3 linked regions of the Macaca mulatta genome follow. The protein of the gene in region 2 purifies or fractionates together with the protein of the main gene of each other region. This does not show direct contact. Links are inferred from orthologs where the notes say so. Each region holds a gene or a part of one and is shown on either strand. Other genes may lie near its edges.

Region 1 (8,210 bases), on a different chromosome or scaffold from region 2:
TCCTCCTAATTTACTGAAGAGACATTTAAAGTGCAGAGATGGCCAGCGCCTTGCTGGAGGAACCATGGGTCAGTAGTGGGACAGAAGCCAGGCCGCTGGTCTCCCCAACTAGGGATCATCCCTCTGTGTGCAGATGACCTGGGCACTGAGGCAGGGCTGAGCTGCAGGCGTGGTGGAGTCAGGTTGAGGGGAGGTGTGGAACTGGGGCTCCTGAACACTAGGGCCAAAGGCTGGAACACTAGAAACTGGGAGTGGAGGGGGGGAATCCCAGAGAGAATGACATCAGAGTCACAGCCTCAGCCTGCACTCCTTAGCATGCTGCCAGTTAGAGCAGGTGACCTTCCTGAGCATCTCTAAGTCTCACCCAGCTCATAGGATGATGGAGAATCTTAGAATCTTAATGGAAGCAGCAGCATTTCTGAAAGTCAGAGTCAGCATGGACCTTGTAGCTCATATTACCAGCTTCCTGCTCTGTGGATGCCTGGCTAGGCTGTGCGGCCACCTCTGCCCTAGTGCTCCCCGCCTCAACTGGAAATGATGGCTTTCTGCTTCTGTGTCCCCAGTGGATGGGAGCATCCCTGGCCCTAAACATGGGCATGCTGGGTAAGCAGGACCTCCCGCGGCTGGGTGCTCACCTACATCGTGGATGAACTGCTCGATCTTGGCTTGCATGCCCCAGTAGCGGAACTCAACCTTGCACAGCTTATAGGCACACATAAGGGGCCCCGTTTGCGCCGCCGTCCGCGCCCAGTCATCAGCCAGTGGCCCTCGGCCCGTCTTGACCGAGCGGTACAGCCGGGGGTCCTCTTCTGCTTTGTACTCGCCTGGAGCCACTGCATCCCGCACGATGTCAATGGTGTCTGAGGGAGTTCAGCAAGCATTGAGCAGTGCCAGCCCCTTTGAGCCCCCGCTCCTGGCACCCTCTTGGGACTGGGTGACAGTTCCTGTCCTTTTGCAGATAGGACATGAGGCTTGGAGAGGGCTGGGACTTCTCAGAGGCTGCCCACTGAGGCAGCCAGGAGACTGAGAGGGGCGCCAGGGTCCCTCCATAGCTCCAGGCCTCACCCAGGATGCGCTGTCTCCTCTCGGCCCCACTCAGGTTGAAGACGTTTGGCTGCTGCCCCCCATCAGGCAAGTAATAGGTCTCAATTTCAATGGAGAATTTCTCCACAAAAGGGCAGGTGTACCTGGGCAGAAGGCATGGGTGAGGCTCACTGCCGTACCCACCAGGGCTGCTTCCCTCCTGGCCCCGGACCACGCCCACTTCACCCACTCACCGGGTTCGGGTGTAGGGGTAGGCATTCCAGGATTCCTCTTCTACCTGCAGGGCAGCCTTGGGCAGCAGTGCCCGGAACCAGCCTGGGATGTGGGAGCCCACGTGGTACACCTTGTGTGTGTACTGCCCGCTGCCCCCGGGCCCATCTGTGTAGGGCCGGTTGGCCAGGATCTCCACGCCGCTGCCCTCACCACTAGACTCCTCCCGGCTCTTTTTCTGTGGCCCAAGGGAGAGCAGAATAGGGAGCTCAGCCCCAGCTTAGCATCTGGGATCCCCAGCTTAGGCTGGTGTTCTGCGCAGTTCTGGGGCCCTGGTCCCAGTCTTTTCAACTCCCTGAAACCAGACACTGCCCCACCGAAGCTCCCTGGGATCGGAATCAGATGCAGCCCAGCCCTGCATGGGGTCTGCAACCCAGCACTCAATTCAGTCATTCAAGTATTCATTGAGTGTCTGCTCCACCCCAGGCAGTGTTTGGGATTCTATCAATTGAGATATATTGATGAATAGAACAAAGACACCTGTCCTCATGGAGCTTACATTCTAGTGGAAGAAGACAGACAAAAGGAAAAAGCAAATTATATGGTGTGTTAGAAGGCGCTAAGTGTTATGGGAAAAGAAAGCCTACAGTAGGGTACAGGTGATCAGGGTTGGGGGCAGCAGTTTTGATCTGATAGTCAGGGAAGGCCTTGCTAAGAACATAAAGTGACCATGGCTTGAACATGACTTTAAGGAGGTGAGGTGGGAGGAGGTGCTCAAGGCAGGGGGAAGCCAGTGCAGCCCTGAGGTGGGAGCGTACTGGATGTGCTGGCGGGTGGCAAGGAGGCCAGGGTGGCTGGCAAGGAAGAAGGGACAAAGAGAGGAAAAGGGGACCCTGGCCCCCTCCCTCTCTGGGAGGCCCAGGCCACCTCCCAATCCCAGCTCCTGCCACACCCCTCACAGCTTGAGAGCCCCCAGATCCTGCCTTCTATCGCTCTGGGGCTCAGATGGCCCTTTCAACCCCGAGGCAGGGTCCAGGCCCTCTTGCTTTATGAGACTCTGGTCCTGCTGTGCTGGGGAGAGATCTGGAGCAGACTCCCCGGGGCCCTGCACCAACCCGGCCACTGCTGAGGGCCTGCCCTGGCCAACTCTTCTCACTGCCCTACCCGAGAGCCCCCTCGCCCTCCGATCCATGCTGCCCTGTCCCTGCTCCAGGTTTGGCGCCTGGTCCTCACCCCATCTCCCTGAGCTCCAGGGGTGGCCAAGACTCTGCACCTCTCCAGACCCCCTCCCGCCCTCCTCGGCCGCGGAGGCCCCCCTCCTCATTCTTGCCGCCTCCTGGGCGCTTTTTCCTTCCCCGATGGGATTACAGATCCTGAGGAGGATTACAGGAGATCAGAGAAGGGCTGGGCACTTAGCGGGTGAGAAGCACCACTCGGCTCTCCTGCCCCTCTCCCCACAGCCCTTCCCCATCCCCACATCCGAAGGGGGCCTCTCTTGCCTCCTCCGGGCTCCCAGCCCGTCTCAGCCCCGTGGCAGGGCTGGCGGGGTTGGCGGGGCTCCACCCCTTGCCCGGGTGCCCTCTCCTTGCCGCCCTCACCTGGATCATGTAGAGCTGGGCCACCTGGTACTCGTCCAGGCTCATGGGCAGCAGAATGTGGTATTCCTTGATGAGCATCCTGAAGGCGCCTGGCGGGCCGCGCGCGGCCTCCGCTCCTCCTGGCGCAGGGCACGGCGCGGCAGTCAGTGCGGGGAGGCTGCGCGCGGCCCCGAGCCCTGCGCGCCGGCCGAGGTGCTCAGGCCACGGGACCCCATGCCCGGGCCCACCGCGGGGGAAGCAGAGGCGAGCCCAGCGACGCCGCCCGCGCTGCCGGGGCCCGGAACAGCAGCTAGGCTGAGCGCTGACCTCTTTTCCGCGCAGCCCCCGCCCCCCGCCCGCCCGTCGCCATGGCAACCGCGTGCTGACGCGGGCCCCCCGGAGCGCCAGGCTCCGGCCGGCGGGCGGGAGGGCCACCTTGCCTCTCCCGCTGCGACCGCGTCCTAACCCCGGGAAACGGCATCTCTCGGGGGCGCGCCCTCCGAAGCCCCGGGGCCCCTCCTTCCGGGCCCGCCTTCCGCGACCGGCCCCTTGGGGACCCGCCCCCTGCATCCCTTTCCCGGAGTCAGCGGGGTCCCAGGTCCCCCACTCTCAGACGTCCACCTAGAGCTTTGTTCCCCGAGTGTCTCTGCGCCGAGTGGCCCCGTGCGCCCAGCATCTCTGCCAGGGTTCCCCATGCCCTGCACCAGAACCTACCTTCGGGGACTAGGAATCCCCTCCGCCCTCCAGATCTGCCTTCTTCACCATGCAGGGCAGCCGGGTCCTCGACCTCCCCCTCCCAGCATCCTTCCTGGACCCCCGGCCCTCGCTGGCTCTCCACGCGCCTAGGCAGCCACCCCGTCCTCTTCTGGGGGGGTGAGCCCTCCTCAGGCTGAGGCCAGAGTGGCTCCACTTGGTATCCCACGGGCCCTGGCCCTGGAGACCCGCTCCGCCCACCTGCGCCCCAGACTGGCACCGAGGTTCCGCTGCAGGCACCCCTCCATCCCCCACTCGCACCCCGCGAGCAAGCGAGAGGCCCCGTTGTCCCCACTTCCCTCTGCTCGCCGGCGTCCCGGTCCCCTGCCGCGCTCTCGGCCCGCCTGCCGACGTCCCGGCTCACCTCTAGCTTGAGGCGGGCGCCCCTCACCCAGCCCGGGCAGGGCCGGCCGGCCCGTGGGTCGGAGCCCGGAGCGCCCCCAGCCCCGGCCTTGGGTTCCAGCGGTGGCCGGACCCTCCCGAGGCGCAGTGCCGGCCCATGGCCCCGACCTTCCTCTCGATCCGCCCGCCGGCGCCCCTGCCGTCCCTCCCCGCAGCCCGCCGCGTCACTGCGGCCGCCCCGCCCCTTTCCTGGGCCCGGCTGGCCCTCCCCACCCCGGCGGGGTCCGGGCAGCCCCGCCTGCAGCGGAGGAGGCGGGGAGGCAGGCCCCTGCCTTCCTTCCCCCGGGCAGTGGGAAAGAGGCCATTGCCTAAATTCTGGCACTTCTTAGTCCCTCAGTGCTGACTGGGGTCCCCAAAGACTCTTAGTTCCTATCTCCACCCTAGCCCAGCCCTCCTGTGTACAGTGACAAGGTGGAGTTTGATAAAGGAGGTCCCAGGCCCACTCTCCTCTTCTCACCCAGTCCTTAGATTTGGGACCCAGGGTAGAGGAAATGCCTCCCCACCAGTCTAGCCAGAAGCTGGCGGCTCTGACGTGCCTCCACCTAGGGCTGGGCTCCAGGGCCCCAGGCCTCTATGGTCACCCAGCTACACGCCCAGGCAGAAGCGGGTTGTCACTCTGAGTGGCTGGGCTAGTCCCTGCATGGGGCCACAAAGCCTCCCCCACCTCTGCCTTCCGGGTCCACAAGTCTGGTCACCCAGCCACCCGGAGTCTGGGCAAAGGCCTCATGAGGCACCGCAAGGCTGGGCTCATGGGATCCCACCCAGCCTGCTACAAGGTGCTGGGGTAGTGACAGCAGCACCCGGCCAGCCCCTCCCCTTGACTGTGAGGCCAAGGGCTGGAAGCAGCAGTGCCCGTTCTCTCTGAGGAGTCAGAGACCTTCAGGGCTGATTCAGAGGCTGGGGTGTTGTCAGGGCATTAGGGCGTTTGAGGGAGTGGCTTACGTGAACTGGCATTTCCATGCTGCCAGGCATCACCGCCAATCCAGAGGAAGCGCCCTCCAGGCCCAGGCTGCCCATAGCGCCAAGGGCTGTGGAAGCAGCCAGGCCCTGTGCTGCCCCCTGGTGGCACCACAGGAAGGCCCAGGGCTCTCAGCGCCACGGCTGGGGCGGAGAGGGCCCGGTTCCCACCTGAGGCTGATGGCCCACAGAGGCAAGTCAAACCCTGTTTAGTCACACCCTCCCCACTCCTAGTCTCCTCTTCCCCTTTCTCTGCCTGGCCCACCCAGGTTTAGCTGAAGAACCAGACCCAGAAAGGCTCAGAGCTGAGAGCACAACTCCAAATCATCTTTTATTAATATAAAAAGGGCATATTTAGCAAAAGACACACAGATAAAAGAGTCACTATGGCTCAGGACACAAGGCAGTGAGGTGCCAGGCCTGAGCCCCTGCTGGGGGAGAAGGAGGCTCGGGACAAAGTGGGAGAAGGGCTGGGAAGGGCTGAGCGGTGGGGACCACAGAAAGTTCCGGTGGGCAACACTGTTGGCAGGTCATGGGTGGGACTCATGGGGACCTCGCTGCTAACTCTTGTTGTGGGGGGATGTCCTTAGTGCTGCCACCTGGAGAGCCGCTCCTTGGTTCCTGGAGGGGACCCACCAAGGGACACAGGACAGGAAGCCCAGGATGGTTAGTGCAACTCGGGATGAAGGCCAGGGAGAAGCGGGTGCTCTGCAGTGGCCGGGAAAGGTCCAGACGCTGAGGCCGGGGCGCTTCCTGTTACGTGCGGGCGTTCCGCTCTGTCTCTGCCAGGCACTCTCTGACTAGGGCCCGAGCATGGATGATACCTGGTGGTGGGGTGGGGTCTCAGCAACCCTCCACAGCCCCACCCACTGCCCTCCAGAGGAGGACCCCTGCCTCCCCACTCCCTTTCCCCTTTCAGCAAGAGAAATTCCAAACTAATGACGGCTAGATGAGATTAGAGGTTTGGTTAATCCTCAAGGTTGCCCTGTAGAAGTACAAATTCCCAGGCTCTTCCCTGGAAATGGACGCAATTTCAATTCGATTCAAAACACCTCTCTGGGTAGTAATACTGGCCCTCCTCTAGGCTTGGCTCAGGTGGCCTCCGGATGTCTTTCTTTCCCTAATGGAAGATAGTCCAGTGTCGGTTTCCTAAGCAGGGCGGCCTGGCCTCACTTACCTCTCTTCAGGCGCTCCATGGCGCTCTTGCTGCCAGCATATGTGGGCCGGATCTCTTTGCCCATCTCCTCTATGACTGACAGCAGGTCCGTGTAGGTGCTCTGGGAGCCCTGGGCGCCGGGTGGCTTCATCGCCTATGTCAAAAGAGAACAGGGCAGTGAGCTCAGGCACCTGGCGGGGAGGGGGACTCCAGTCCCCATCCATAAGCAAGCCTTTGGCCCCACTCACCTGCACGTAGCCCATGGAAGGCGGTCCAAAGTCGTTAAACAGCGGTCTAAAAGGAGCGGCGGCTCCTGGCACTGAGCCCGACGGCGACGGGACGCTTCCTGCAGCAACAGGCGCGAGTAAGAGGTCAGCGCGGGGCAGGGACGCCGCCTCCCAGCTTTTCCAAGCCCAGGACCGGGTTCGCCCGATTCCCTCCAAAGGATGCTTCATTCCAGGCTGATCAACTTCAGGGACAAATCCCTCCCACTGCGCTCCACCTACAAGCCCTTACGTGACCACGCCCACTTCACAGGCCAGCAAACTGAGGCTCAGCGAGGGTAGGCGGCAAGCCCAGTATTGCAGAACTCAGGCCGTCTTCTCTTCGAGACCTCGACCGCCCGGCAGGCGAGCAGGGGTGGAGCTGGATCCTCACCTGTAGGGACCGGGGTGCCCGGCCCAGGGGTGCTGGAGCCAGGGGTGCTGCTGGGGGCAGGGGCGATGGGTTTGTAGGACATCCCCAACTCCTGGGCGCGGCGGACGCCAGCCGGCCGCTCCTCGGGGGTTGGCTGCCGGGCCGCTCAGCCGCGCTCTGATTGGCAAGCGGGCTGCACGCCCCTGGTAAATAGAGGTCTGGCCGGAAGGGCGAGCGGGCACGAATGCTCCCTCACTCCCGATTGGTGGGCGAAGATGTCACTCGAGCCTCCTTATTGGCCGAGACCTGCCCCAGCAGGTCGCAACCGCCGCCGATTGGCCTCCGCCTTCCGGACCTCGCACCTGTCTGCTCCGGATTGGGCGGTGGCCACCGCCCTCCGCAATTGGCGAGTTCGCGGCCCGGGCCGGCGCGCTTTCAATCCGATTAGTCCCCAGGCCCTAGAGGCGGGGCCTCGGGAACCCGGACCCGGGGCTGGGCCGCCGGTTCGCGCCGAGGGTGTCTTCCCGGGCGCGGGCGCCACCCTCGCGCCTCACTAGCGCTGCTTCAGACGTCTGCTCCGCTCTGCCCAGTTTCGGCCCAGCAGGGGTTGCTGTCGCCGCTGCCGTGGCCGCTGTCACCGCTGCCGTGCGCGCTTCTCTGCTCCGGGGGCCGAAGGACGCAGGGCTTTGACGTCCCGAGCCCCGCGCCCCACCCCGTGCGCTTTTACGTCACCTTTCACCGGTTCAACACCCTCTCCCCGATCTGCGCATGCGCCCGCCCGAGGCCTGCGTTTGTTCCCATGGCAACGGGCCCTTCATCTATGCCGCCGCGCACCGTTCTTCCTGAGGCTTGGCTTGTCCTCAGGTCCAAGGGCGACCTCAAGGACCCCTTTGCCCTCACCCCCAAGGCCCCGCGCCGCTGCCTCAGTTAGTGATAATGGCCGTAGGGCAAACAGGGATTACTTGTGTGCCGGGCCCCGGACCAAATTGGTCAAGAGCACAGACTGGAGCCAACCGCCTGGGTTCGAATCTCAGTACCACCCCCACTAGCGATTTCCCCCAGGCAAGTTTCTCACCTCAGTATGCCTCAGTTTCCCCATCCGTAAAATGGGGAAAATGACAATCTCATTGGGTTGTGTGGATTAAATGAATAGTCATAAAGAGCTTCCTGTCCCACTCCAGGGCCCCCATACCTTTCCACTCCACCACTCAGACCCCTCCCCTCAAATCTCATTCGCCATAAACTTAGACCTCAGACCCTCCTCCACTCACTAACCCTTTCTCCCAGGCTCCTTCCCCAAACTCAGACTTCTCTGGCCTTGTGTACCTTCATGCTCCCAGCTTTGTAGATCTTAATCTCCAGGACAGTCATTCATTCATTCATTCATTCATTCATTCATTCATCCATCCATCCAACAAACATGTTCTGGCCCGGCGCGGTGGCTCACGCCTGTAATCCCAGCACTTTGAGAGGCC
Region 2 (6,870 bases):
ATGGGGAGAGCTAGATTCCTGGTTTTCAGTTTGCTACCCAGGTCAATGATCGTCAGTTACTTTTCCCTGACAAGCTGCGTGTTTCCATGCCCTCCCTCCACTGACTGGCTGTCATCCCCAGTAAATCTCAAGAGGGGATCATAGCTCAATCTTGGCAGGGGAAATGAGGGGAGTTTATAACTTCCGAAGATTGAAACATTGCAGACCCTGAGCTTGTTACACTTTCATCCCAGCTTCCAAATGCTAAGTTGGTAAAATAATTCGCCCTCTGTCTACTACTCTTCCAAGCTTCCTACTCCACCAAGACAATCCTAGGGATGTTCACATCTTTGTGGTGACAGTAATTTGTGGCTAATAATTCCTGAGCTTGCACAATTACAGTATGCTAATTTTTGCATGGCAGGAATTTGATAGTGCAATATACACAGCCCTTTTTCTCTTTCTCTGAAGTATTAGTCTCAGCTAAACTTCATTATTTACCCTTATCCATAATTTCTAGGGCCCAGTTGCTTTAGATTATTAAGATACCAAATAAAATGATCCATTTCAAAAATAAATGTGACATTTTACAGTGTGGATGAAATGCTACCACGTTTGGTGTTTGCTGAGAACTACTTTACTTTGCATAAAAAAGTCCTTTATTACATGGTTGGTGACACTTAGGCTTTCATTTGTTTTTGAACAGCATGATGTAGAAATAAATAAAATTATATCCACAACTGCATCAAAGACAGAAACACCAATAGTGTCTAAGTCTCTGAGTTCTTCTTTGGATGACACTGAAGTTAAGAAGGTTATGGAAGAATGTAAGAGGCTGCAAGGTGAAGTTCAGAGGCTACGGGAGGAGAACAAGCAGTTCAAGGTAATAGTTTATTTTCTGGTAATCTACAGAGAACAAGGGCATTTTCACTAGCTTCTTGGGTGGGGAAGTTGATGAGCCAGTGAATGTATAGATTTCTTTTGCTTTTGGTATTTGGCTGTTTTTTTCTCCCCAGGGAGAAATTTCCATGGCTTTCATCAGATTCTCAAAAGGGTCCTTGGATCTGTGTAAATTAAGAACCACTGTCCCTTGATCAGAAGTTTCTCTACTGTTTAAGCTGTTGTCCCCTTGGAAAAAAAAGAAAAACCTCGGCCGGGCACGGTGGCTCACGCCTGTAATCCCAGCACTTTGGGAGGCCAAGGCAGGCCGATCACAAGGTCAAGCGTTGGAGACCAGCCGGGCCAACACAGTGAAACCCCGTGTCTAATAAAAAATTAAAAAAAAAATTAGTTGGGTGTGGTGGTGGGCGCCTGTAATCCCAGCCACTCAGGAGACTGTGAGGCAGGAGAATCACTTGAACCCAGGAGGCGCAAGTTACAGTGAGCTGAGATTGCGCCACTGCACTCCAGCCTGGGTGACAGATCTAGACTCCATCTCAAAAACAAAACAAACAAACAAAACCCCCCAAAATTCACACTTTCCATTAGTGTAAATTGAAAATAAATGTTGAGACCAAAATAGCAGTTTTTATTTTGAATATGCGTTTTTAAACCCCACGCCATCCCCATTCACTTGGGTGAGAATCTTTTTTTCAGAGGGTAAGTACTGACCAATACTCTGATTCAATGCAGGTATAGTTCTGATTTTAGAAGACTCTAAATAGGTCTGGGCAGTTTTGGCTCCTCAAACTGTTGATGTGGTGATGAGCTTGGAGGTGGGGTGCCTCACAGTCGTTAGGAGGTGGAGATTATGGAAAGAAAACCTGAGCCTCTAGCTCGTGGACGAGGCAGTTGGCATTGGCAATGGAAGGTTGTATTGTACTGAGTGGTGAAGGGGGGAGTCAGAGGGTGTTTCTTTTGGCTGGGAGGCTTGTGGTGGTGTGGAAGTTGCTCCCATCCAATATGAAACAGCTCTGAATCTGTGCTGGTCACAGCATCTTTTAGGCCTCTGTTTGCTAAACACCTCTAAGGCCCCTTCCAGCTTTAAAAGTATGAGTTTTCTTCTCTTTTACTCTTGACAATGAGGTAGATACAGGAGAACTGACAACATTTGGGAAATGGCATCATCTTCTTCCTTTGCAGTGATCTTGATTTGCCTCAGTCAGTAACTTCTTTAACGTGTAAGTAAATTGTGAAGCCGACACTACGTTTTGGCTAACAATCTAAGCTATGCCTGAAGCTTCTCCTCGAGTGTATTTCTCTTCTGAAACAGAGTTCTGTGCTGTTTAAAGTGGTAAATAGGTAGAAATAGCTTCTATATAACCCAATAAAATAAATGGTGTAGTTAGCTGGTTTTTTTTAAGTCAGTTGGACACCACCTTGTTTATCACTGTGCAGTGATATTGCCATGCCCCATGAGCAGAATATCCTTAAAATATGATCAGACTAATCTCGACATTAGAAGATTCTTTATCCTGCCAGACGCTGCCTTCTTGTTTTGTGTTGGTTTATTCTGTCATCTGGCCAACAAATGAGGGTCTAATATGTGCCTGGCACTGTGGATTCAAACACAAACAGTCCCTGCCCTTGAGGAGCTCTCTGTTAATGGGATAGCAGGGAGAGACATACACAGAAATTATTATAAGCCAGTGTGATAAATGTCCCACAGAGATAGCAACAAATTGCAGGAAGAGTCAGCTCCGTGGGATTCATCTGCCTGTGGTCTCCAGGACCTACTAGGTACTCGGGTGGATGGGAGAGAATGGAAGGAAACGAAGAAAAGAAAGTACAGCTGGTGTGTGGGGTTTGGGGATGAGTAGATGAGGTAATTATCAAGAGATCTTTCAGCAAAGATGAGTCTGGGCCAGAATAGAATGGCTTGATGCATGTCCCTCTTCAGGGATGTGGGCTTGGCTTTGAGAGCATGGAAATGGCATCATAGATCTACATGGTAACTTGCAGATTCTTAGGAAAGTGCAAGGCAGTTGTGGCAGTGGAGGTGAAGGAAGAAAAAAATTTTCATTTCTTACATATCCATGTAGTTTGGGGACAAGGGGAGGGTGGGGGATACGGTCAGACATCTTTATATGTGTGAAAAAGAATGTTGCTTCTTCAATGAGAAATCTATGCATTAAGTAGAAAATATTTGAGATGAGTGTACCAAGGCCAGTCACATTTTAATATTCCAAATATCATTTGATCCAGCAGTCTGGATGTAGTTCATCAGGTACCAGCTATGTACAGAGCTCTGCATTTGAAAGCTTCCAGATGTCCCACTTTTAGATTTTTTTTTTGATATGGAGTCTCACTCTGTCACCTCAGGCTAACTTTTGTATTTTTAGTAGAGATGAGGTTTCATCATGTTGACGAAGGTGGTCTCGAACTCCTGAGCTCAGGTGATCCACCCGCCTCAGCCTCCCAAAGTGTGGGGATTACAGGCATGAGCCACCGTGTCCAGTTGACTTTGTAGTTTCTTATGATTTGTATATTTATGTCTTGGGAAATGCCTCTCATTTAAAAAATTGATGATTTGATCAAGGAAGGCTATTCATTAGAGGCAGGAAGGACAGAGAGGTTGGGGTTGAAGAGAAGCATCTGAAAGACATGGCCGTAAAGGTGGGTGGGGCTGAGGGTGCAAAGGGCCCAGTTGACCCTTTTAAGAACTTTTTTCTGTAAATCATGGGAAACCAAGGAGCACCCTGTTTAGATTTCTGTTATAACTAGCAGCATCAAGTGGAATGTATGAAAGAAAAGAGGGGACTGTTTTCTCTGTGGCTTCAGGCTAGCCCTTTCCCCTCTGTAGCCTGCAGTTTCTCCATTTGCAAAATGAGGTTGGACCATATCATGTCGGCCAACACTGGGCATGAACAGCCCATCCTGTTAAGCTGTACGGTTGACTCCCCTTTCTGGTGCCTTGGCTTGTCTTTGAAATGTGCATTTGCTCCCATAGGAAGAAGATGGACTGCGGATGAGGAAGACAGTGCAGAGCAACAGCCCCATTTCAGCGCTAGCCCCAACTGGGAAGGAAGAAGGCCTTAGCACCCGGCTCTTGGCTCTGGTGGTTTTGTTCTTTATTGTTGGTGTAATTATTGGGAAGATTGCCTTGTAGAGGTAGCATGCACAGGATGGTAAATTGGATTGATGGATCCACCATATCATGGGATTTAAATTTATCATAACCATGTGTAAAAAGAAATTAATGTATGATGACATCTCACAGGTCTTGCCTTTAAATTACCCCTCCCTGCACACACATACACAGATACACACACACAAATATAATGTAACAATCTTTTAGAAAGTTAAAAATGTATAGTAACTGATTGTGGGGGGAAGAATGATCTTTATTAATGACAAGGGAAACCATGAGTAATGTCACAATGGCATATTGTAAATGTCATTTTAAACATTGGTAGGCCTTGGTACATGATGCTGGATTACCTCTCTTAAAATGACACTCTTCCTCGCCTGTTGGTGCTGGCCCGTGGGGAGCTGGAGCCCAGCGTGGTGGGGAGTGAGGTCATCTCCACACAGTAGTCCCCACATGGCCCACTCCCGGCCCAGGCTGCTTTCCATGTCTTCAGTTCTGTCCAAGCCATCAGCTCCTTGGGACTGATGAACAGAGTCAGAAGCCCAAAGGAATTGCACTGTGGCAGCATCAGACGTACTCGTCATAAGTGAGAGGCGTGTGTTGACTGATTGACCCAGCGCTTTGGAAATAAATGGCAGTGCTTTGTTCTCTTAAAGGGACCAAGCTAAATTTTTATTGGTTCATGTAGTGAAGTTGAACTGTTATTCAGAGATGTTTAATGCATATTTAACTTATTTAATGTATTTCATCTCATGTTTTCTTATTGTCACAAGAGTACAGTTAATGCTGTGTGCTGCCAAACTCTGGTGGGTGAACTGGTATTGCTGCTGGAGGTCTGTGGGCTCCTCTGTCTCTGGAGAGTCTGGTCATGTGGAGGTGGGGTTTATTGGAATGTTGGAGAAGAGCTGTCAGGAAGTGTTTTTCTGGGTCAGTAAATAACAACTGTCATAGGGAGGGAAATTCTCTGTAGTGACAGTCAACTCTAGGTTACCTTTTTTAATGAAGAGTAGTCAGTATTCTAGATTGTTCTTATACCACCTCTCAACCATTACTCATACTTCTAGCACCCAGGCCCAAGTCTGAGCCTAACCTCTCCTTGGGGACCTAGCTTGGAGTCAGGACGAATGGATCGGGGTGCAGAAGGTTAGAATCGAGGGCACCAGCAGTTGGGGGTGGGGAGCAGTGGGAGAGAGAGACTCTTCAGCTAATCCTTCTAGTACTAGTTGAGAGTTTGACTGTGAATTAATTTTATGCCATAAAAGACCAATCCAGTTCTGTTTGACTATGTAGCATCTTGAAAAGAAAAATTATAATAAAGCCCCAAAATTAAGAATTCTTTTGTCATTTTGTCACATTTGCTTTATGGGGGGAATTATTTTATCATTTTTATTATTTTGCCATTGGAAGGTTGACTTTAAAATGAGCTCTATCACTGGGAAATATGTGTTTCATGATTTAAATGTACGTGTGTGTGTGTGTGTATATATATATATATTTTTTTTTTTGGTTGTCTTCAGCTGACAGTATGAAAAATAAAACTGCTGAAAAAGCTGAGCACCTGGTCACCCTTGGCCTTCCATTGCTTTGGCCTTCAGTAAAAAGCAGCCTCGCTTCTAGGTCAGGGAACCATGCCATTGAGACTAGTAACAGGCGTTCTGGGCACAGTCCCACTGTGCACAGGTTTGAGAGGACAAGTTCATCAGAAGGAAGGCAGTCCTTAGAAGTCACATACGTCAAGCCACATTGCTCCTAAGCCTGGCTGTGTTAAGCTGGGTCAGGTGCCTTGAAACAGGAGAAGTGGAAGTCTGTGGTTGGTGAGTAAGGAACTTCCTGTCTTCATGAAAAAAGTTGACTTTGAATCCCAGGTACTCACAGAAATGGTGAGCAGACTTAGTTGTTACCCAGGCACCCATGGATTGCGTTGAGTGTGCAGACAGGGAGGTCACCCCAATATGAATTTGTCTCCAGGTTTTTTCCCATGTGGCCCCCAGTGCTTATAAAAGGAAGTGAAAAGACCGAACTGTAAGGCACATGCCTTCTGCCGCCTGATTTTCCGTGAGGAGACTAAAATTTGCTAATTGTAGGTGCTGCAGCCAGTTAAGTCCTTCTGTAGCTTCCAGGCCCTCATGTCCTTGCCCTCATGGAGAGTGCTTAGATGGTCCCCAACATACGTAGGGGTACAGTACAGTCCCATTACACTAGAGCAGGGCTCTATTTGTTTTTAAAGGATATGGCCGTGTGTTTTGATAAAACTTTATTCACAAAAACAGCCAGGTCATGGGATTTGGCCTGTGAGTCTGTGGCAGTTCTTAAAAAGAATATTGAGAAACTACTCTGTTTTAGACCTTTGAATGTGATTTAGAGTTTTGTGTACATCTAGGAGAAGGTGTTCAGCTTCTCAGAGGATGTGGACATTTTGGTTGCAGCTAAAAATCAGCCTCTGAAGTCTCTCTCCCTTCTAGAGGTTAGCACTTGGTGAACACGTTTGTGGGGTTTTTGGCTGAGTGGCAGAAGGAAAATCCTCAGGAAGAGAAGCAGGTGAGTGATGGGAAGGTTGGTTATTTTATCAGTCATCCTGGCAGCCAAAAATGTGCCGGGAAAAGAAAGAACGTGGAGCAGGCATGGCTCCTGGAGAACTTGGACATGCATGCACATTTAGGGTGTCTTTCCTAGAATTACATAATGAAAACAAGAGTAAGGCAAAGAGGAGGTGAATATGGGGCCTGTCACAACGGCCTGCCCTGCCCCAAGAGGTTAAGAGTCGGATAATCGGGATGAAACTGGCATGGAAAGAGCGAGGCTGAGGAGGGTGCTGCCGGGCAGTGTGCATGGGGGAGCTGCTGCCAGACTGCCCTCCAATC
Region 3 (7,951 bases), on a different chromosome or scaffold from region 2:
GTGATTTTTTTAGTTTCTGACTTTTTTATGTATTGACACTTCTTCATGGCTAAGCTGGAAGGAAAAACAATAATGCCTTACACGTGAGTAGCACTTCGTGGTTTTCCTGGTACATTCATTATAAATGTGAGTATGATAATCGATCATCTGTTACATGCCAGGACATTGTGCTGACCATTTTACATATGAACATAGAACTTGGCCAAATCCTATGTAGAAATAGGTATTACAAGTCCCATTTTACTATTGGAGAAACAGGTTCAGAGGAGTTAAGTAATTTTCCCAAAGTTATATAGTTAATAAATGACTGAACCCAGATCTATCTGATCTTAACCCAACGACTTTCTTCACTTGAGGAGAATATTAACACATAAGTGAACAATAAACTGTTTTCCTTTTATATGCACAAATCTCCCTATGTCTATATCCATCTTTTCCTTTCCTTCTTTCTCTTCTCAAAAAAGGCCAGCCTCACCACATATGCTTCATTCCCTCTTGCTGCGTGGGCTCTGAATTCCTCCACTGCCCGGATGCACAAATCCAAGGGGTGTGATTCACAAGGAGTTCTCTGCGGGTGGCACTTCCTGAAGCAAGACTTCAGAACACAATGTGAGTAGTGTCCCTTGGAGCTATGTGACTACCAGCTCTGTGGATTTCCTTTCTTCTCACCTTATTAGGAATTTTTCCTTCAGCTCTCCCATTTCCTCTTGGCCATCAATCTCTCTCTCTCCTAGAGTATTTCCACCACCATACCAACAGGTCTGCTATACTCTGCTCTAAAGGCAAACAAACAAAAACCCACACACACACACAAAACAAAAACAAAACAAAACAAACAAAAAAAACAACCAATCATCCTAGACTACGTTCCTCTCTTACTTGCTTTTTCAGCAGCGGTCCATATTTACCTTTTGAAGTAGTTTTCTCCCTTGGGTTCTACACCATCACTCTTTCTTTGTTTGCCTTCTATTTCTCTAGCCACTTCTATTCTTTCTCTCCCTTTGCTAGATATTTTTCCTCTATCTATTCTCTAAATATAGAATTTCTTCAGGACTTTATATGAGGTGCCACTTCTTCTCTTTCTATATTCTTTTCTGGAATCACCTCACCTAGACTTGTGATTTAAAATACCATCTCAACCCCAGGTCCTGCCTCTGAGTCCTATTCCTACACTCAATTTTCTCCTTGACATCTCCCCTAAACTATCTGACAAACTTGTCAAACTTAACATCTGCCAAATTCAACTCTTGTTTTCTTGCTCCTTCCACTTTTCCCCATCTCAGGAAATGGCACCATCCTCACACAGTTGCTTAGGCCAGATATCTGAAAATTATCCTTGATTCTTACCTTTTCCTTATCCCTGAATTCAATACAGTAACAAGTCTTGTCTGACCTACCTCCAAAATACATATCAAATTAGTTCACTTTGCCTGTTGACTACTCTAGTCAAAGATTCTCCACCCTCTCTCACTGGATGTTTTAATAGTCTCCAGCTATTCTTTCTTCTTCTTTTGCCCCCTCCCATGTATTCTTCGTGTAGCATCCAGACATTTGCAAAATGTGAACTGGATTACATTGCTCTTTTGCTTAAAACACTTCAGTGATTTCCAGTGTACTTAAAATAAAGTCCAACCCTGGTGTAGAGGGCCCTATGTGATATGGCTCATGCCAATCTCTTCAACTCTATCACAAACACTGTGTTCTAGGTGCAAGACACTCCTTCAGTTCATTAGATGAATCAGACTTTTCTACCTTTGAGCCTCTGGATAAGTTATTTCCTCTGCTTAGAAGCCTTCCCCACCCCTAACTCGCTTGCCTCTATCTTATCCTTCAGCTCTCCTCCAAGATTCTTCTTGTCAAGGTTACCACTGGCCTCCACATTGCTAATAGCCATGTTGACATATGTGGCACCTCTTCTCTCTGCTCATGCAGCAAAGTTCCAGTTCTTCTACAAGACCCTGAGTTCTTTGAAGTCAAACTCTGTACCTACAATACATTTTCATATCCCTGGAGCCTAACATAGTGATTGGCTTGTAGTGGGTGTTTAATGAATGCCTGTAAGTGAATGAAGGTGCAAGTTGAGATGTTTTGGGAAAGATTGCTACAGTAGTAACCCATACTTCCTCACTAGTGTAGTGGATAGAAACCACAAGGATCATCAAGAGACAGGAGTTCAAGGCTTGGCACTAGCAGTAACAACCTGTTGTCAAAATTCTTCTAATGTTTAGTTTCCTCATCTGGTCTATCTACATCACTAAAAAAGAATGATATCTTTCATTCTTATTTTAAGATTAATAATTTTTGGCTGGGTGCGGTGACTCACACCTATAATCCCAGCACTTTGGGAGGCTGAGGCGGGTGAGCACTTGAGCTCAGGAGTTCAAGACCAGCCTGGGTAGCATGGTGAAACCCTGTCTCTACCAAAAATACAAAATACTAGCCAGGCATGGTGGCTTGAGCCTGTGGTCTCAGCTACTCGGCAGGCTGAGGAGGGAGGATCACTTGAGCCTGGGAGGCGTAGGTTGTAGTGAGCAGAGATTGTCCCCTGCACTTCGGCCTGGGCAACAGAGTGAGACTCCATCTCAAAAAAATAAATAAATTAATAAATAATAATAATAATTTTTTTTTTGAGATGGAGTCTTGCTCTGTCACCAGGCTGGAGTGCAAGGGTGCGATTCCAGCTCACTGCAACCTCCGCCTCCCAGGTTCAAGTGATTCTCCTGCCTCAGCCTCCTGAGTAGTTGGGACTACAGGCGTGTGCCACCATGCCCAGCTAATTTTTGTATTTTTAGCAGAGATGGGGTTTCCCCATGTTGGCCAGGATGGCCTTGATCTCTTGACCTACCGATCCATCTGCCTTGGCCTCTCTAAGTTCTGGGATGACAGGTGTGAGCCACCACGCCCAGCCAATAATAATTTTTATCACTGAGGCTGTATCTCCCAGTTCCCCACCTCCAAATTCCCTCTGTGGGTTGCAAAACTCATTAAATGAGATTAAATTTTTAAAAACTTTTAATTATGTAAACATTCAAACCTAAACAAAAGTAGAGGAAATAGTATATCACTGGTTTAAACAATTATCCACTCATAACTTTTATTTCATTCCTAGCCTTACTCTTTTCTCCTTCCCATTACTTTGAGGCAAACCCCAGATGTGGCAGCATTTCATTTGTAAATATTTCAGGAAGAGAATTCATAACTGCTAGCTGACACCCCTTCTGTTCTTCAACAACTTAAAAAATGAAGCGTTTGTTGAACAGCATGTTGCTCTTCCCAGAAACCAGGTAACAAGTATGATTTTATTTCGGGACAATCAACTAGGCAAGTTCTTACAGGGTCAGGGGGCGCAGGGTAGAAGTGGTGAGTATTACAGCACCTAGCTTAGTGCGCTGCAATCAATAAATAGAGGTTGAATGAAAACAAACCCAATCGTTACAATGTAAGCCAACTGGTACTAACTACAAATAGTGGTTGAATGAAAACAAACCCAACAGGCTTTAGGTCTTTTAATCCAATCTTATCCACATGAGTTTAAGGTCTTGTCCTACCACCTTGCTTCTGTTCCCTTTCTGTATTCATTACAGGAAATTTTCAAGTTTTATTAAACCAGCTACAGCGGAGTTTTATTAACCAGTTGAGGGCGGACTAAAGTCTTCCAGACTCAGACGAAGAAGCAGCACTCCTACTTACCAGGGCGACTCAGGAACAGGGGGCGGGGAGTCAGGGGGCGGGGCCGCCAGGAGCCCCGCCCAGACCCCGCCCACGGCAACTCACCATCTAGCTTCCCCATCTCTTTCGCTCTTCTTCCCGGCAGGCTTAGCGCCCGGCCCGGCGCTCCTCAAGATGGCTGCTGACAGTGAGGTGATTTCTTTGCTCCCTACTTAATCCTAGTCACTATCTAAATTCGTTCCTCCATGTCGTCTCCTTGGGGCTTAATTTCATTTTCTTTTATTCCCCTTCCCGCAGCCCGAATCCGAGGTATTTGAGATTACGGACTTCACCACTGCCTCGGAATGGGAAAGGTGAGTGAATCGCATTTTTGCTTGCCAGCTCCCATGGGCCCTGGAGTCCCCTAGCCGCTTCCCTGACCCCAGACACACCACAAGTGACGCCACTTCTGCGGGAACGGTAATACCATGGGTCCCGGGTCCCCTCCTCCTCTCTTCTCTGGTCAACCGCAAGCCTCTTCCGCGTCTCGCGTCTGGGAAGACGCGGCCCGCCCCCGTCAGCCAATCCTTGAGGCTCAGGCTCTCCCAAAGTTTTGTTTTCTCTACCGTCAGACCGCTTTCCTTAGACTTTGGTTTTCTGGTTGTTACCCACTCGCAAGAACAATTTCCGAGGCTGCAACACCCGTTCCGGTTTTCATTACCGTTTAACTCATTATCGTAAGCAGTAAACTTGGCAGGTGCGTCCCCCACCCCATCCCGTATACGTTGGTATACCCTTTTCAGGAGGAAGTCTTTCTTCAGAGTATTGGTGGTTGTCCGTCTGTCACACTCCCACCATCTCCATGCTGTCTTTAATTTTTTATTTTTATTTATTTTTGGAGACAGAGTCTCAGTCTGTCGCCCAGGCTGGAGTGCAGTGGCGAGGTCATAGCTCACTGCGGCCTCGAACTCCTAGGCTCAGGTGACGCTCCCGCTTTAGCCTCAGGAGGAGCTGGGGCCACAGGCACGCGCCATCACGCCAAACTAATTTTTTAAAGATCTCGTTGTGTTGCCCAGGCTAGTCTTGAACTCCTGGACTCAAGCCTCGGCCGCCCATAATGTTGAGATTACAGGCGTGAGCCTCCGCGCCTGGCCTATCCTGTCTTTTAGAATAACCTTTTAAAAAAGTCTGCATATGGCTTTGGAATGCTTTGATTTAAGTTGTTACATTTCAGTGGGTACTGTGTCCAGGCTTCCTGTGCTTATCAAACTCAGATGAACAGCTGTCTGGGTGAAACTGTTCTATCACTGAAATTAGTTGAAAGCCAAGTTTATGGAGGAGTGATAGCTTAGATCGAGAAGGTTTCTGTTGAGTGTCACAGAAAGCCTTCAGTTTTCTGGGTGTCGAAGTCAGTGTTTACGCTGTTATAACATTTTATAATCTTTCTGGTTGGGAGAGGAAATTTGTGGATGTTGTGTCATTAGGTGGTCCTTATTGGAATAATAGACCTGTGGTACCCTTCATAAAATTATCAGTAAGACATAACCACACTGGCAAGATTTCACTGAGCAGGTACTGGGTGTCCAGAGCTATCTACAAAGGGAAAAGCAGAAACTTGACCCATATATTTTTAAAAAACAACAAACAGCAAATAGTTAAAATGTAAGCCAATTTATACTACCTATAAAAATAATAATTAAAATAATTATTATTTAAATAGGGGTGATATTGTGGGCTACAATAGTTGGAGATATTTTCATAGAAAACATAGGAAATGAGCTGGGCCTTGAAAGTGGGAAGTGGTTGGTTAAACATGAGAATGGACTGACATGGGCAGAGACACAGGTGAGAATGAACCTTTGAAGGGACTTGTATCTTTACTAGAGTGAAGACTGTCTATTGAAGGGAAATAAGTAAGGTTAATGAGGAAGATGGGATTGGGTTATGGACATCTTCCCAAACTAAATGCAGGAATTCAGATTCAGTATTCCTATGACCAGTGATTCTCATACTTTACATCAGAGTCATAGATTGCTGGACACCATTCTCAGAGTTTCTGATTCTGTAGGTCTGAGGTGGGACTAAAAATTTTGCTTCTGTAACACGGTCTCAGGGAATTCAGATGCTGCTGGTCAGGAGACTGCACTTAGAAAGAACCACTGGTTAAGACAATAGTGAGAGACCCTTGATTTTAGAGTGGCCAGGTGATATGATGAGAGTGGTTTTAGGACATGGTGTAGAATAATGGCAGGAGACTTAACTTGATTCGTAATTAGGATGGTGATTTGTGGACTGGAATACAAAGGGAGCCTAGAAGGGAGGATTGTAACATATTTCAGAGAAGATTTAGGTAATAAGCTTGATGATACGTTAAGAGTGGGAAAAATCAAATGTGAACTGCAGTTTTTTGCCTGAAAGAATGAAGATAAGGAAGTGTCAAAGTGAGAAGATTTGAACCTGTTTTGAACCTGTTGATTTTGAAATAATTTGATGTCTTGAAGGTAGTTAGAAAAATGTAATTCAAATCTTGGAGGGTGGGGGTAGGCAAACATCAGAGTTTTGAATGGAAAAATGATCACTTTCCCTTAGTTAAAAATATCCTGAAGTGGAATATTAAGTCCTTTAGCTTTGCATATGGAAATAATTATTAATGTAGTTATAAGAACTATTGCAAAGTAGAAAATTCTGTTTTTGGCTTTTATACTGTTTGTAGTGTGCATTTTACAATGCATGAGAAAAAATGTTAAGACTTTGAAGTCTCAAACCTTGAGTTTAATTTTAAATGAAAGATCTTATTAATACAATATGTTATGAACTATGTAGATCATTTATTGAGAGAACTGTATAGAAGCCCATAACTCTTTTTATCGTTTGTTCATTGACATAATATTTATTGAATCCCCATGTGTCAAGCACAGTGCATATTAGGGATTTAGGGATGTGGTGGTTAGTAAAACAGGTACGGTTTCTGCTCTTACTAAATGTACAGTCTAGTGCATTACAGACACAAATCAAGTAATACAAGTGTGTAATTATGAGTTTATGTAAGAGCTAGAAAGGGAAGGAAACCTGGTCTTATAAGAACCTATAACAAAGGGACCTAATATAGAATAAGGAATCAGGAAATGACCCTTCATTTCCTGAGAGCTTTTAAGGGAAAAATTACTTAGTTTTTCTAGTCAAATCTCAATACTTGTAGGATAAAGTCCAAGTCTCTTAGCTAGTACTGATAGAATTCATTATTCTTATAATAAGTATTTTAAGACATTCCTGGCCGCGCATAGTGGCTCATGCCTGATCCCAGCACTTAGGGAGGCTGAGGCAGGCGGATCACTTGAGCTGAGGAGTTCAAGAGGAGCTGGAGCAGCATGCTGAAACCTTGTCTCTACTAAAAATACAAAAGCTAGCTGGGTGTGGTGATGTGCACCTGTAGTCCCAGCTAGCCAGGAGGCTGAGATAGAAGGATTGCTTGAGTCCTGGAGGACAAGACTGCAGTGAGCCGTGATTACACCACTGCATTCCAGCCTAGGTGACAGAGTTCAGACACTGTCTCAAAAAAAAAAAAAAACAAAAAACATTTCTTCTATAACTGTAACAATAATGCCTTATAGTAGAATAAAATATAAAAATCACCTGTAAACTTACCACAGGAAATAACTACTGTTAATTTTTGGACGTATTTCCTTTTAACCTGTGTTATTTGGATCAAATATTAATATTTCTTTTCTTTTCTTTTTTTTTTTTTTTTGAGACAGAGTCTCACTCTATCGCCCAGGCTGGGGTGCAGTGGCACAATTTTGGCTCACTGCAACCTGTGCCACCTGGGTTCAACCAGTTCTCTTGCATCAGCCTTCTGAGTAGCTGGGATCGTGCCACTGTGCCCAGCTAATTTTTGTTGTATTTTTAGTAGAGATGGGGTTTCACCGTCTTGAACAAACTGGTCTTGAACTCCTGACCTTGTGATCCACCTGCCTTGGCCTCCCACAGTGCTGGGATTACAGGCGTGAGTCACTGTGCCTGGCCTTTGTGTATTTTCTTTTGACTGACATGATTTTTAATGGGTGCATATTAGTCCTCGGAGAGGATGAACATACCATTAATTTACAAGGGTTTGCTGCAGTTGGGCATTGAGGTAACTTCCAGTTTTTTTACTTTCATAAATATAGTATACATTTCATGCAAATTTTTGCTTGCCTATGGATATATTTAAATTTTTTCTTTTTGGTAAACATGTAAACTTGTTTCTAGAGCACTCATTTTCAAACCTACTAATTGTCATGACTGACCCCCTGCCATGAATTAG

What was found. Proteins that work in one complex are often made in the same cells at the same time.
Region 1: the proteins of VAPB (region 2) and PITPNM1 purify together in Homo sapiens (affinity purification with mass spectrometry; 5 studies listed by BioGRID and IntAct, counting the BioPlex papers as one, with this or other methods). This does not show direct contact. The link is inferred for Macaca mulatta from reciprocal best matches to the Homo sapiens genes VAPB and PITPNM1.
Region 3: the proteins of VAPB (region 2) and RAB3GAP1 purify together in Homo sapiens (affinity purification with mass spectrometry; 4 studies listed by BioGRID and IntAct, counting the BioPlex papers as one, with this or other methods). This does not show direct contact. The link is inferred for Macaca mulatta from reciprocal best matches to the Homo sapiens genes VAPB and RAB3GAP1.

The regions. Positions count from the first base shown.
Region 1 is NC_133419.1:6,873,216-6,881,425, reverse strand, and holds the start of PITPNM1 (membrane-associated phosphatidylinositol transfer protein 1), read right to left. Parts: upstream 4,125-8,210; 5' UTR 3,949-4,124; intron 3,947-3,948; exon of another isoform or gene 3,546-3,946; intron 3,149-3,545; exon of another isoform or gene 2,972-3,148; 5' UTR 2,931-2,971; coding exon 2,853-2,930; intron 1,493-2,852; coding exon 1,278-1,492; intron 1,188-1,277; coding exon 1,066-1,187; exon of another isoform or gene 1,035-1,065; intron 924-1,034; exon of another isoform or gene 861-923; coding exon 636-860; intron 1-635. Other genes in the region: CDK2AP2 (cyclin-dependent kinase 2-associated protein 2), read right to left, coding at 5,700-5,767, 6,121-6,253, 6,348-6,554. UniProt on the Homo sapiens protein: Catalyzes the transfer of phosphatidylinositol (PI) between membranes. Binds PI, phosphatidylcholine (PC) and phosphatidic acid (PA) with the binding affinity order of PI > PA > PC. Regulates RHOA activity, and plays a role in cytoskeleton remodeling.
Region 2 is NC_133415.1:111,243,471-111,250,340, forward strand, and holds the end of VAPB (vesicle-associated membrane protein-associated protein B/C), read left to right. Parts: intron 1-685; coding exon 686-862; intron 863-3,868; coding exon 3,869-4,027; 3' UTR 4,028-6,702; downstream 6,703-6,870. UniProt on the Homo sapiens protein: Endoplasmic reticulum (ER)-anchored protein that mediates the formation of contact sites between the ER and endosomes via interaction with FFAT motif-containing proteins such as STARD3 or WDR44.
Region 3 is NC_133417.1:26,678,179-26,686,129, forward strand, and holds the start of RAB3GAP1 (rab3 GTPase-activating protein catalytic subunit), read left to right. Parts: upstream 1-3,827; 5' UTR 3,828-3,843; coding exon 3,844-3,861; intron 3,862-3,966; coding exon 3,967-4,022; intron 4,023-7,951. Other genes in the region: MAP3K19 (mitogen-activated protein kinase kinase kinase 19), read right to left, coding at 1,809-1,894. UniProt on the Homo sapiens protein: Catalytic subunit of the Rab3 GTPase-activating (Rab3GAP) complex composed of RAB3GAP1 and RAB3GAP2, which has GTPase-activating protein (GAP) activity towards various Rab3 subfamily members (RAB3A, RAB3B, RAB3C and RAB3D), RAB5A and RAB43, and guanine nucleotide exchange factor (GEF) activity towards RAB18.